Linked DNA regions of Mus musculus: all the other regions are reported to be linked to region 2. Evidence: microRNA targets listed by miRTarBase, many of them from high-throughput screens and not tested one by one. Region 2 holds a microRNA gene; each other region holds the end of a gene's coding sequence.

Evidence for each region. Region 2 holds the annotated microRNA mmu-miR-30a-5p (UGUAAACAUCCUCGACUGGAAG, at 1,017-1,038, shown strand). A microRNA usually pairs through its seed, bases 2 to 8, with sites in the 3' UTR of a target mRNA and lowers its output. Matches are read on the target gene's strand: a 7mer-m8 pairs with bases 2 to 8, a 7mer-A1 pairs with bases 2 to 7 and ends in A, and an 8mer does both.
Region 1: miRTarBase lists Snai1 as a target of mmu-miR-30a-5p. Seed matches in the 3' UTR shown: 8mer at 2,105-2,112.
Region 3: the mRNA of Mesd is a reported target of mmu-miR-30a-5p. Seed matches in the 3' UTR shown: 7mer-A1 at 888-894.

The regions. Positions count from the first base shown.
Region 1 is chr2:167,541,477-167,544,824 of GRCm38, reverse strand. Snai1 (snail family zinc finger 1) reads right to left here. Exons shown (of 3, transcript NM_011427.3): 3 at 2,011-2,926. The coding sequence ends at 2,742. Among named protein-coding and RNA genes, the nearest start is that of Snai1, 5.0 kb to the right of the region's middle.
Region 2 is chr1:23,271,258-23,274,605 of GRCm38, forward strand. It overlaps Mir30a (microRNA 30a), which reads left to right and starts at 1,012; the gene lies at 1,012-1,082.
Region 3 is chr7:83,897,849-83,900,848 of GRCm38, reverse strand. Mesd (mesoderm development LRP chaperone) reads right to left here. Exons shown (of 3, transcript NM_023403.4): 3 at 538-3,000. The coding sequence ends at 2,844. Among named protein-coding and RNA genes, the nearest start is that of Mesd, 7.1 kb to the right of the region's middle.

The DNA.
Region 1 (3,348 bases), not on the chromosome of region 2:
AACTCAAAGAAGGCCTCCCCTCCCGCCTCCACCCTTGATTCTCTCACTTCTCCTTGGCTAGTTTGGCTGCCTGCCTTCTCCTAGAGACAGCCTTTTCTCCTCACGTTGTCAAAAGCTGCACATTTCTGTGAATAACCCTTTGCAGTCCCCACCCCAGTTCTTCCCACAGAAGGCTGTCTGTCTGTCTACTCGGCCCCAGGCTTAGAGAGGTTCCTTCTGGGACAGCTGTGTCCTCTCTCCCATTTACTGGGGTCCAGGACCAGTCCCAAGGAAGCGAGGAAGGCCCCAGGCTGGGTGGGCAGTAAACTACCCAGCCACCATAGCCCTGGCCCGAGCCCTTTGTCACCTGCTATGCCACCTCCATTCCTTCTCCTAGCTCTAGTCTCTGCCCTGCCAGGCGGCCTATGGGACCTTGGTCCCAGCTGCTGTCTCTAAGCCCCTTGGCTGCATTCTGGGCTGAGGTTCCAGAGAGGCCCTGATCTCCCTCTCCTCCTGGCTTTCTAGTGCCCCCAGCCACATGGTCTTTCTCAGGACAGCTTCTCCCAGCCCCACAGCCTACTTCCCCTCCCCCAGGATTCTCCCATCCCTCTTCCTCCACCTCCATCCTTCCCATCCTCCTCCTCCCTCTCTGGAATGTCAACCCTCCCGAGGGCTCTGGATGCCTTGGTGGGAACCCTGCCTGCTGCTCTCAAGTCTTCCCGGCCTCTCATTCCATCCTGGCACTGCTGCAGGCGAGCAGTGTGTTTAATTGCTTGTTTGTTTTCTGTCTCCCCGACTAGAACAGAGTTCCTGAGCACAGTGACTCTTCACAGGGACTGGCACACCCCGGCTCACAGTACCCACTGAATGACTGAAGGAATGTTTCCTCACAGCCTCTCCAGAGACAGGCACTGTTGCCTCGGATTTCTAGAGGCAGAAACTGGGGCCGAGAGCAGAGAGACTCTTGCTTGCTTCTGGCAGCGAGAGGTGAGAGTCAGGGCCAGGAGCCAGGCCTACCTGACTCCCAGCACGCTCAGAACCAGGCTGACCAAGTCCTAGGCACTAGACCTGGGGCCAGGCCCTCAGCGCTGAGTCTGGTCCTGGAGGCCCATCCCATCCCTCCAGGCCCGGGGTGAAGTCACTCACTGTTCAACCTATGTGGAGGAACCTCCTGGGGACACAGTAGGCCTTCAGCTCGTTGATGCCCAGCCCCCAATACCACCTCACCAACCTCCCCTTCAGGGAGGCCTGCCACAATTTGGCGATTGTTAGAGACTTTTTTTTTTCCTTTTGGGAGGAAAGCTGTAAGTCATTAGGCTGTTCCCGCCTGCGGGTCACCATTTCCTGTTTAGAAGACTCATCTCTCCTTTGGAGCTGGAAGCTCCCCACCCCCCAGCCGGGTTGGAGCTGGGCTGGCTGAAGCTCCCAGCCGACGCCTGCTCAGCTCCCCACAGGAAACTGGCACCTTCATCACCTTTTGTGCTTAGAAAGGACACTCATTTTCTCTCGAGCCCCAGGAGGCCCTCAGAGTTGAGGTCACCAGCACCAACTAGCCTGAGGTAAATTGCTCCAGCCCTGGTCCTCCAAGCAGGAAGCTGTATGACCCCTACCCTTTGGCCTGGCTTCTCACCCTCCTGGCTCCAGCCAGCCCATTTCCTTGCATCAAAGACCATTTGGTACCCAGCAGCCAGACAGAGGTGTGGGCCTGCCTGACAGGGAGGCGCTTGGGAACAGGAAAGACATCCTCCCTTCAGCTGGGAGGGGCAGCTAGCTCTGCCCCAAAGACCTGCTATGGTGGAGCCAGAGCTCCTGGCCAGGCTGTGGCTAAGCCCCACAAAGCACCTTCCCAAGAGAGCCCGAAGAACTAAGAGTTCAGGAAGCTTGCACTGTACCAGAGTGGGACAGATACCAGGCCAGGCAGCCCAGGCCCCAAAGTTCACGACTAGTTAGAACTCCAAAGCACAAGACTTAAGGCCCTGCCCCTCCCTCCTGGAAGTCCCTTTATGGTGCCCCCACCCCAACACTGAGCACTTTTTAGTATATAAATTAACCATTTTATTGAATATCAATAAACTGTACATATTAACTATACAAAATGCTGCTTACAATATAAATACCTTTAAAATGTAAACATCTTTCTCCCGGGGCCACCTGTTGGGCCCCAAAATAGTTCTGGGAGACACATTGGCCAGGCTGAAGCACCCCACTTGGCCCCTAACAAGTGATGGCCATTATTCATGGTCCCTTCTGAGACAGTTAAACTGCTGTGAAACAGGTGTCACCAGGACAAATGGGGGCGGGGGCTGAAACAGTTGCCCAGGCCCAGGGGCACCTGGACATGTGTCCAGTAACCACCCTGCTGAGGCATGGTTACAGCTGGACGGGGTGGGGGGGAGGGGAACTATTGCATAGTCTGTTGTACCTCAAAGAAGGTGGCCTGAAGGGTCCTTGAGGGAGGTAGGGAAGTGGGGTCCCCTGAGCGGGGTTCAAGCTTCCCAGCCAGTGGGTTGGCTTTAGTTCTATGGCTCGAAGCAGCTGTGTCCAGAGGCTACACCTCATGAATACTGAGGGGTAGGAGGCTCTGGGCGGGTACAAAGGCACTCCATCAGCCACCTGCGGCAAAGGCCACCAAGAGAGCCAAGCAGGAACCAGGTCCAGACATGGACGCCACAGGTCCCCGGACCAAGGCTGGAAGGAGTCCTGGCAGTGAGGAGGAGGGTGAGCTCCGGGAAGATGCCAGCGAGGATGGGGAGGTAGCAGGGTCAGCGAGGGCCTCCGGAGCAGCCAGACTCTTGGTGCTTGTGGAGCAAGGACATGCGGGAGAAGGTTCGGGCACAGGCCTGGCACTGGTATCTCTTCACATCCGAGTGGGTTTGGAGGTGGGCACGCAGGTTGGAGCGGTCAGCAAAAGCACGGTTGCAGTGGGAGCAGGAGAATGGCTTCTCACCTGGGGAGAGATACCAGCAGGGTTAGGAAGGCCTGGACAGGGCCCGGTCAGCCCAAGCACAGCCAGACCTGCACTGGATGCGGGTCTCTGGGCTTCCTGCTGTGCAGCCCTGAACACCACCAGACTGCTGAGTCTCCAAACTCCAGGCGGGGCTCACTGAAACAAAGTCCTTCCCACCTGGCAGGCACTGAACACTTCTGATTGACCTGTCATCTGTCCCTTCTGCAGTCCTATTAGAGGTGGGGAAACTGAGGCACAGAGGTACGCAGCAGGCTCTAGGTCACCCACCATACCTCCATAGCCCGGGTTGTAGTCACTGCCTCAGGCAGGGGAGCTGCGACTGGACTTCCTATTACCAGCCTTGAATTTACTTTGATTTACTTTGTCTGGGACAAAGCTTGAGAGGCAGCCTGGAGAGGCCT
Region 2 (3,348 bases):
TGCTGCCTCAAAGATTAACTTTCTTAACCATAACGGGATAGAACTGTCCCTTGCTTTGAAAAAGAAATTTATGGAGCTCATCACATTTGTTAGTTTCCACAAACATGAAGCTCTCTGTGGGGATTTTTTTTTTTAATCATAAAATCCCTAAGGCGTTGGCAACTAAAATTGTGGTAACTTCATCTAAAACCAAATCTCAGGGGAAGGCACACCCACTTCTCTGTACCAGCTTAATCTTTCACTAGACTCAGAAGGGTTTTGAATTACTTCAGGAAAAGTAGTGACTGATAGAGCTTAACCTTCCGTTTTCCTCATTTATTTTCATTAGAGAATGGGAGTGGAATTCAGAACATTCAGATGTGGAGTTAATGTGCGTCACTGCTGCCAGCCCCTGCTGCCAGCGATAGGTTCTGTGTTTTTCCAGTGGGAAACTCTGATCCGCAGAGATGCATGCAAACCTGCACCTCCTTGCTCTTTTCTGCTTTCCTCCTGATTGTTGCTTACTCTTTGGAACATCAGCTGACTGTACAGAGCCTCTGTGGAAGCAGATTTCAGAACAAAGGTGATCTGTAAAAGCAGCACGTAAGTCTTGGTTCTGTCTGTTTCCTGTTCTTATTTGATAGTTTTAAGCTTCCCTACTTTGGTGTTTATGTTGAATGCTCTGTACATAATAGAAGCATTTTCCTTGTTAAATTTTCTCAAAGGATTTCGATAAACTTACTCATGTTCTAGTCCTAGTAAGTCACTTGCATGATTGTTTCTTATGGCCAACAGTAATGGGTGAAAGCTATTTATTCGTGTTTTCATAAATGTGTTTGACACTTAGTAGATGAATAATAAATGTTTCTGAAACATATAAACTATATCTTACATAAACTTTAGTTATATTTCTAGGGCATCGAGGCTTTGCAGTTTACAGAATGTTGCCTGTACATTTCAGAAACTCCCGCAGAGCACTTCTCAGGTCAGTAAGACAGAATGCTGAAGAAGGCATATCAACGTTGACAGTGAGCGACTGTAAACATCCTCGACTGGAAGCTGTGAAGCCACAAATGGGCTTTCAGTCGGATGTTTGCAGCTGCCTACTGCCTCCAACTTCAAGGAGTAATTATCTTGTTGGCTGAAACCAATACCTTGCTTTCTCTTTGATTTATTTTTACAAAGCTTGGGTGGAAAAGATAAATTAAACAACTTCAAAACCACAGAAGTGTTCTTCCTGTGCATAGAATATGCAATATATGTACTCAAAAAATATAACAGTATTTTTAAGCTAAGCAAAGAAATATATTATGTATTTTTTTTAAACAAATAAGACAGTGCTTCAAAAATTATTTTAAAAAGTAGGCTCTTTAATCTACTTTTATTTATCAAATCTCAGAGTAGGTTTTTTTTTTTTTAGGTCAATTCACACACACCAAAAACATCGTGTTAATGTAACTAAATTATTTGAAAAGAGAGGAAGTAAAATCCAAAGTAGAGCATTAATTCATGTTTCATAGTGCTTGAATTAAACCACCTACCCCTTCTTGGTTTAGTATTTCATGAAGTAATGATTTTCACCTTAATATAGTATCTAAAACATTGCCTCAGGTAACTTGAAAAGTATATTTGCTTTCTTTTGCTTGATCTACTATAAAGTCTTGATTGAGATTTTCCTTTTAACTAAACTGATAAAGTAACTCATCTCCCTTTAAAATAGTACACCAAATTCTATTCTTTATGAAGACAATTTCAGAATGGGAAGCCTAGCACAGATCCCTGAAAGACATAGTTTCTAATTTGCCTTTTTTGTTAGTCTGTATTTTTCTTATGGCTTAATGTGAATGTTCATTTAAATTATAGGAATGAGACACCTTAAAAAGAGAAATAGACAGCATCTTTACCTTGTAAAGCACACTCTTTGAAACAGCAGTTTCATTACTGTAGAAATGACAGCTTCTATTCTCCCAGTTAATATCATTAGTCTTACTAACAGGAGTTCATACTGAAAGAGTATTCCATTCCATATGTGCTGGCCATGCTGATGGCTGGAAAGATAGGTGACTAGAAGTCAGTTTTTCTCATACATAAAGACACCAAGTGAGAAAACTCAATTAGTCATGCCAGGCATGAGGAGTTGGTTGACTAACACTGAAGCCCCAGGGTCTGGAACTGAGCAACATTGCTTTAATAGGTAAACTGAAAACATTTAGTGTAAGTAACCCAGCTGTGTCCCAGGGAAACTAGCAGTATTTCCCAGGGAACGGCTATAAGTTTGAAGAAATTATTTGACCTTCACTTCCTTTATATTTACCCCTATGTTGTCTCACACTTCTTTCCTTGGTTTGTTGACTTCTAAATTTTCCACTGTCCACTAACTACTCTTTGGTTATTTCTTTTACATACTTACTGGAATTTTTTTAACTTGTAAAATTTGCTTCATTCTTAGATGTAAACCTCTATTAATTATTTTGGTTAGTTTTGAAATTAATACCTGTTATGTCTTGTGCTCCTCAATTCCACAGTAATAATCTAAAATACTGTTTTACAATAACAATAATGTGCTATTTATAGCTGAAATACGATCTGGATTTTTTACCCCCATTTTATTAAAAATAAACTTCAGTGTAAAACAGCAGTATTACATTATAAAATTATATTGTCAAAGTATTGTGTACTTAAGATTGAGTATCATTTTATATAAATCAACTATTACTCATTATTTTTACATGTATTTTCTTTAATTTAAAATCACATCCATATCTGCACAATAAAGCACCTTACATGAACTACAACATAAAACTGTTCCTCTTCTTGCTCCCCCTTTTCCTTTCATGTTGGGCCCTGTGCTTGCTCGGCAATGGTTCTTAAACTAAGTACATGCCCAGAGTTTTCAAGTGGCCTGCAGCAGGTCAGTTACTGAAAATAAAACACGTCCTCGGTGCTGGAGAAATAAACCTAAGTGTTCATTTCTTCAAAACCAGTAATGTTTTAAAAGTGAGCAGCATACCTAAATAGCCTTAAGTAGTGTAAATATAGTTTTTTATTTGTAATTGTCCAAAATAGAAATTGCGACAGCCTTTGAAAGGAGATTTCTGAAGGAGGTATATAAGATCTGAAAGTGGCATTGGTGATTGATTTAAATGATACATTTTTCCTGACCTTAGAACTCTAGCTTGAACCTGAACTTAAGTTTATGGTGATGTCGTCATAAATAGCATACATGTGTAAGTCCTTTGCTCTCTGAGAAGACAGCTGCAAGCTGTGAGGGTTGTGATGGCTAGCAAACAGATTTCTTATCTAGACCTGTGGACACCATCTCTGCCTGCTTTGATAGTAGATTGTGTTGTTTTCTTTTGCGAAGGTATT
Region 3 (3,000 bases), not on the chromosome of region 2:
TTGCATGAGGTCTGCTCAGAAACGATTTCCAGTGGTGGAGCTCCCAGGAGCCCTGAGGTAGCTTCCCCATGGACAGATGGCTGGCCAAGGAGCAGACTGTCCTCACTTGAAAGAGAGCTAGAAGCCAGTGGTCCCAGGGGACACTGGACTGAAGCAGTTGTGCTGTCCAGATGCCCCTGCAGTTGCTGTAACAGGGGCCGTCCTCCTGAGAACAGGAGACTACAGTGCAATGATGGCAGTGTTAGCCTTCCCTGCTGGTAATTTTATGGAGGAGGCTAAGAGGGCTCCTCTGAAGAAAAGGCCATACACCAAGAATTGTGACTAGTTTCTTTTGCATTTAGTCCTTTTTGTTTTGGGGGTTATTTTGGGGGGGGGGGAGCATGGGGAGCGTGAGTTTCAGACGTAGCTGAGGCTATCCTGCAACTAAGTAACCTGGCCTGGCTGATCCTCCCATCTCTCCCTCCCAAACACTGGGATTACAGGCATTCAACACCATACCTGCTTTTCCTCCTTAGTACCACTATAAGGAATCTGTAGTCTGGGTACAAGTGACTTTAATAGACTTTCATTCTACTTGATTTGACTCATAAAAAGCAGCAGTAGGGCCTCCTGGCTTCTTGTGCTTTAGAAACTCGAACCCAAGAATTTGAAGAAATGTGACAACACGAGGCAGTTTAGGGACTGTCAAAAATCAGGGAGGGTAAATCGATCAATCTGGAGTTCAAATTCTTGAACTGTAATAAAAGGAGGCTTAATGTGCCAATTTCGTTTCTAGTAGCAAATAAGTGTTTGGAGAGGAGAATCTGTTTATCCCAGCTCAGAATACACAGCCAGAAATCAGAAACAGCAGAAAGCATGAACCGAAGGCTGCTTCAAGCCTCTCTGCCTGTAAACCCGAGAGACTGACTAAAGGCCTGAGTCCGGAGAAGCTCTCCTGTCAGTACTACGCAAAATCCCTGAGGCACTCAAAATTCCAACAGCCTCCTAGAGTCCTCACTCCCCAGTCCAGACTCCTCAGGGGCCTCCAAGAGCACCCTTGTCTACTACTTCTAGCCTCAGGGCCTTTGCAAAGGGAACTCCCTTGACCTCCCAACAAAGCTCTGCCCATTCAGTTCACTGCATTATGCATTTCTTCCTTTCTCCTCACAGTCAGTCATTCCTGCCATGCCTGCACTGTCCTCAGAACCCACCAGTGACAACTACATCACAGGTGATGCATGAACCTGGTGAAGAGGCTGCACACCACACTCAAAGCCATGACAGTCCCGTGTCAGCATCATGAAGGCTTCCAGAAGGAAACGGCAGCCCTGAGAAAAGAGCATCATGGCTAGACATGACAGTAGCCAATCAACTGCCCCATGTGAAAACAGAAAAACCCCAGGAACGGGGCTTGTTTCAGATTTGCTGGGCCCACAGATACCAAAAGGATGAGTGCCCTGTCCCAGCTTCTCCTAGATTGGCAGCACCCTCAAACAGGACAGCAGCAGATCATCACAAGTCACAAGGTGCGAGGACCAAAAAAAGCTTCTTTTTGAAGAGGCTCAGCAGGTTGTGTCCAGGACGCCCTGAGCTGGGGAGGGAGGTGTGGCTTGGTAAGAGAAACATGAACGGAAACCAACTGGAGGACAGAATATACCCATCACTGGAGGACAGAATATACCTATCACTGGAAGCTGGTAATTGTACTTTATTTTTGAAAAACCAATGACCAACAGTAGCTTCACTGGGACAAAGTACTGGCAGCAGGGTAGGGCAATTCTTCACACTGTGACACTCTTAACAGTGACAATTTCTAGCCGGGTACGTGTACATGTACTATTTCGAATTTCAAACCACAACTGAGGTTTTAAAAGAATGTGAGTTCTTAAAAATGGCATCCTCATAGAAATGTTCTTTTAGCGAAGCTTCAACCTATGAACAGCAGAAACAGATGTGAACAGCAGCACATCATGAGAGTACCATACAAAAGCACAAGTTTAGGCACTTCATCAAAGGAAACCGCTTAGAAATACTGTAGATGAGGTCCACTCCTATGCAAGACTCTGCTGGTCCCTCCTCGCCAACTTTATAGTTGTTGGGCTATGCAGAACGTGGGCCCTCAGTGGAAGCATCCTTCTTTCCTCACACGATGAACAAGCGCATTCCCTCTTCAACTCCAGGAGACGGGGAGACAAAGATTCCCCAGAACCGATGAGAAGTTCTGGACGGCACTGTCGTGAATCTGCCCACTCTGCATAACGAGTTTGCTGTCCAGATCCTGGGCGCACAGCACTGCTCATACGGCACAGTTATCTTCACTCACTGAACACAGCACTGCTCATACGACACAGTTATCTTCACTCACTGAACACAGCACTGCTCATACGGCACAGTTATCTTCACTCACTGAACACAGCACTGCCCATACGGCACAGTTATCTTCACTCACTGAACAATCAATACCCGCGCTTCAGTCAAGTTGAAGCTTCTCAAGGCTTGTCTGACTTGAGCTTGTAATACACAGATACAACAGGCCATGGGACCACAGCAGGTGCACTGAGGAGGGAGTGGTACTCTGGGGGTGTCATGGACTCAAGAGAAATAAAAGGTACAAAACATCAAGTTTCCAAAGTCAGGTGAAGCCACAGTAGACATGACTTGCCAGTCCACTACCAATCACAAATCCTGCCTTCACATGGGAAGCCTTTTATACGGTAACTGTGATATTGACCAGATGGTCATACACAGACCATTTCTAGAGGACATGAGAATGTCATCTGCTATGCAGTTTCCTGCACCACCTGCCCCACCAGTCTGCGAGGGGCTATCTGGTCCTGCCTACCTGGCGGGAAGCTTGCCACCTGCTAAAGGTCTTCTCTTCTGCTCCCAGCTCGATTGTCTTCCTTGGAAGCACGTGGTTTGGGATCTCCCTCCTTCTTTTTAGCCTTCTCTGGCTTTGTTTTATTTTTCTCCTTGCTTCCTCCTCCTTTGCCAGGATACATCTGTCCCTCTAGAGTGACT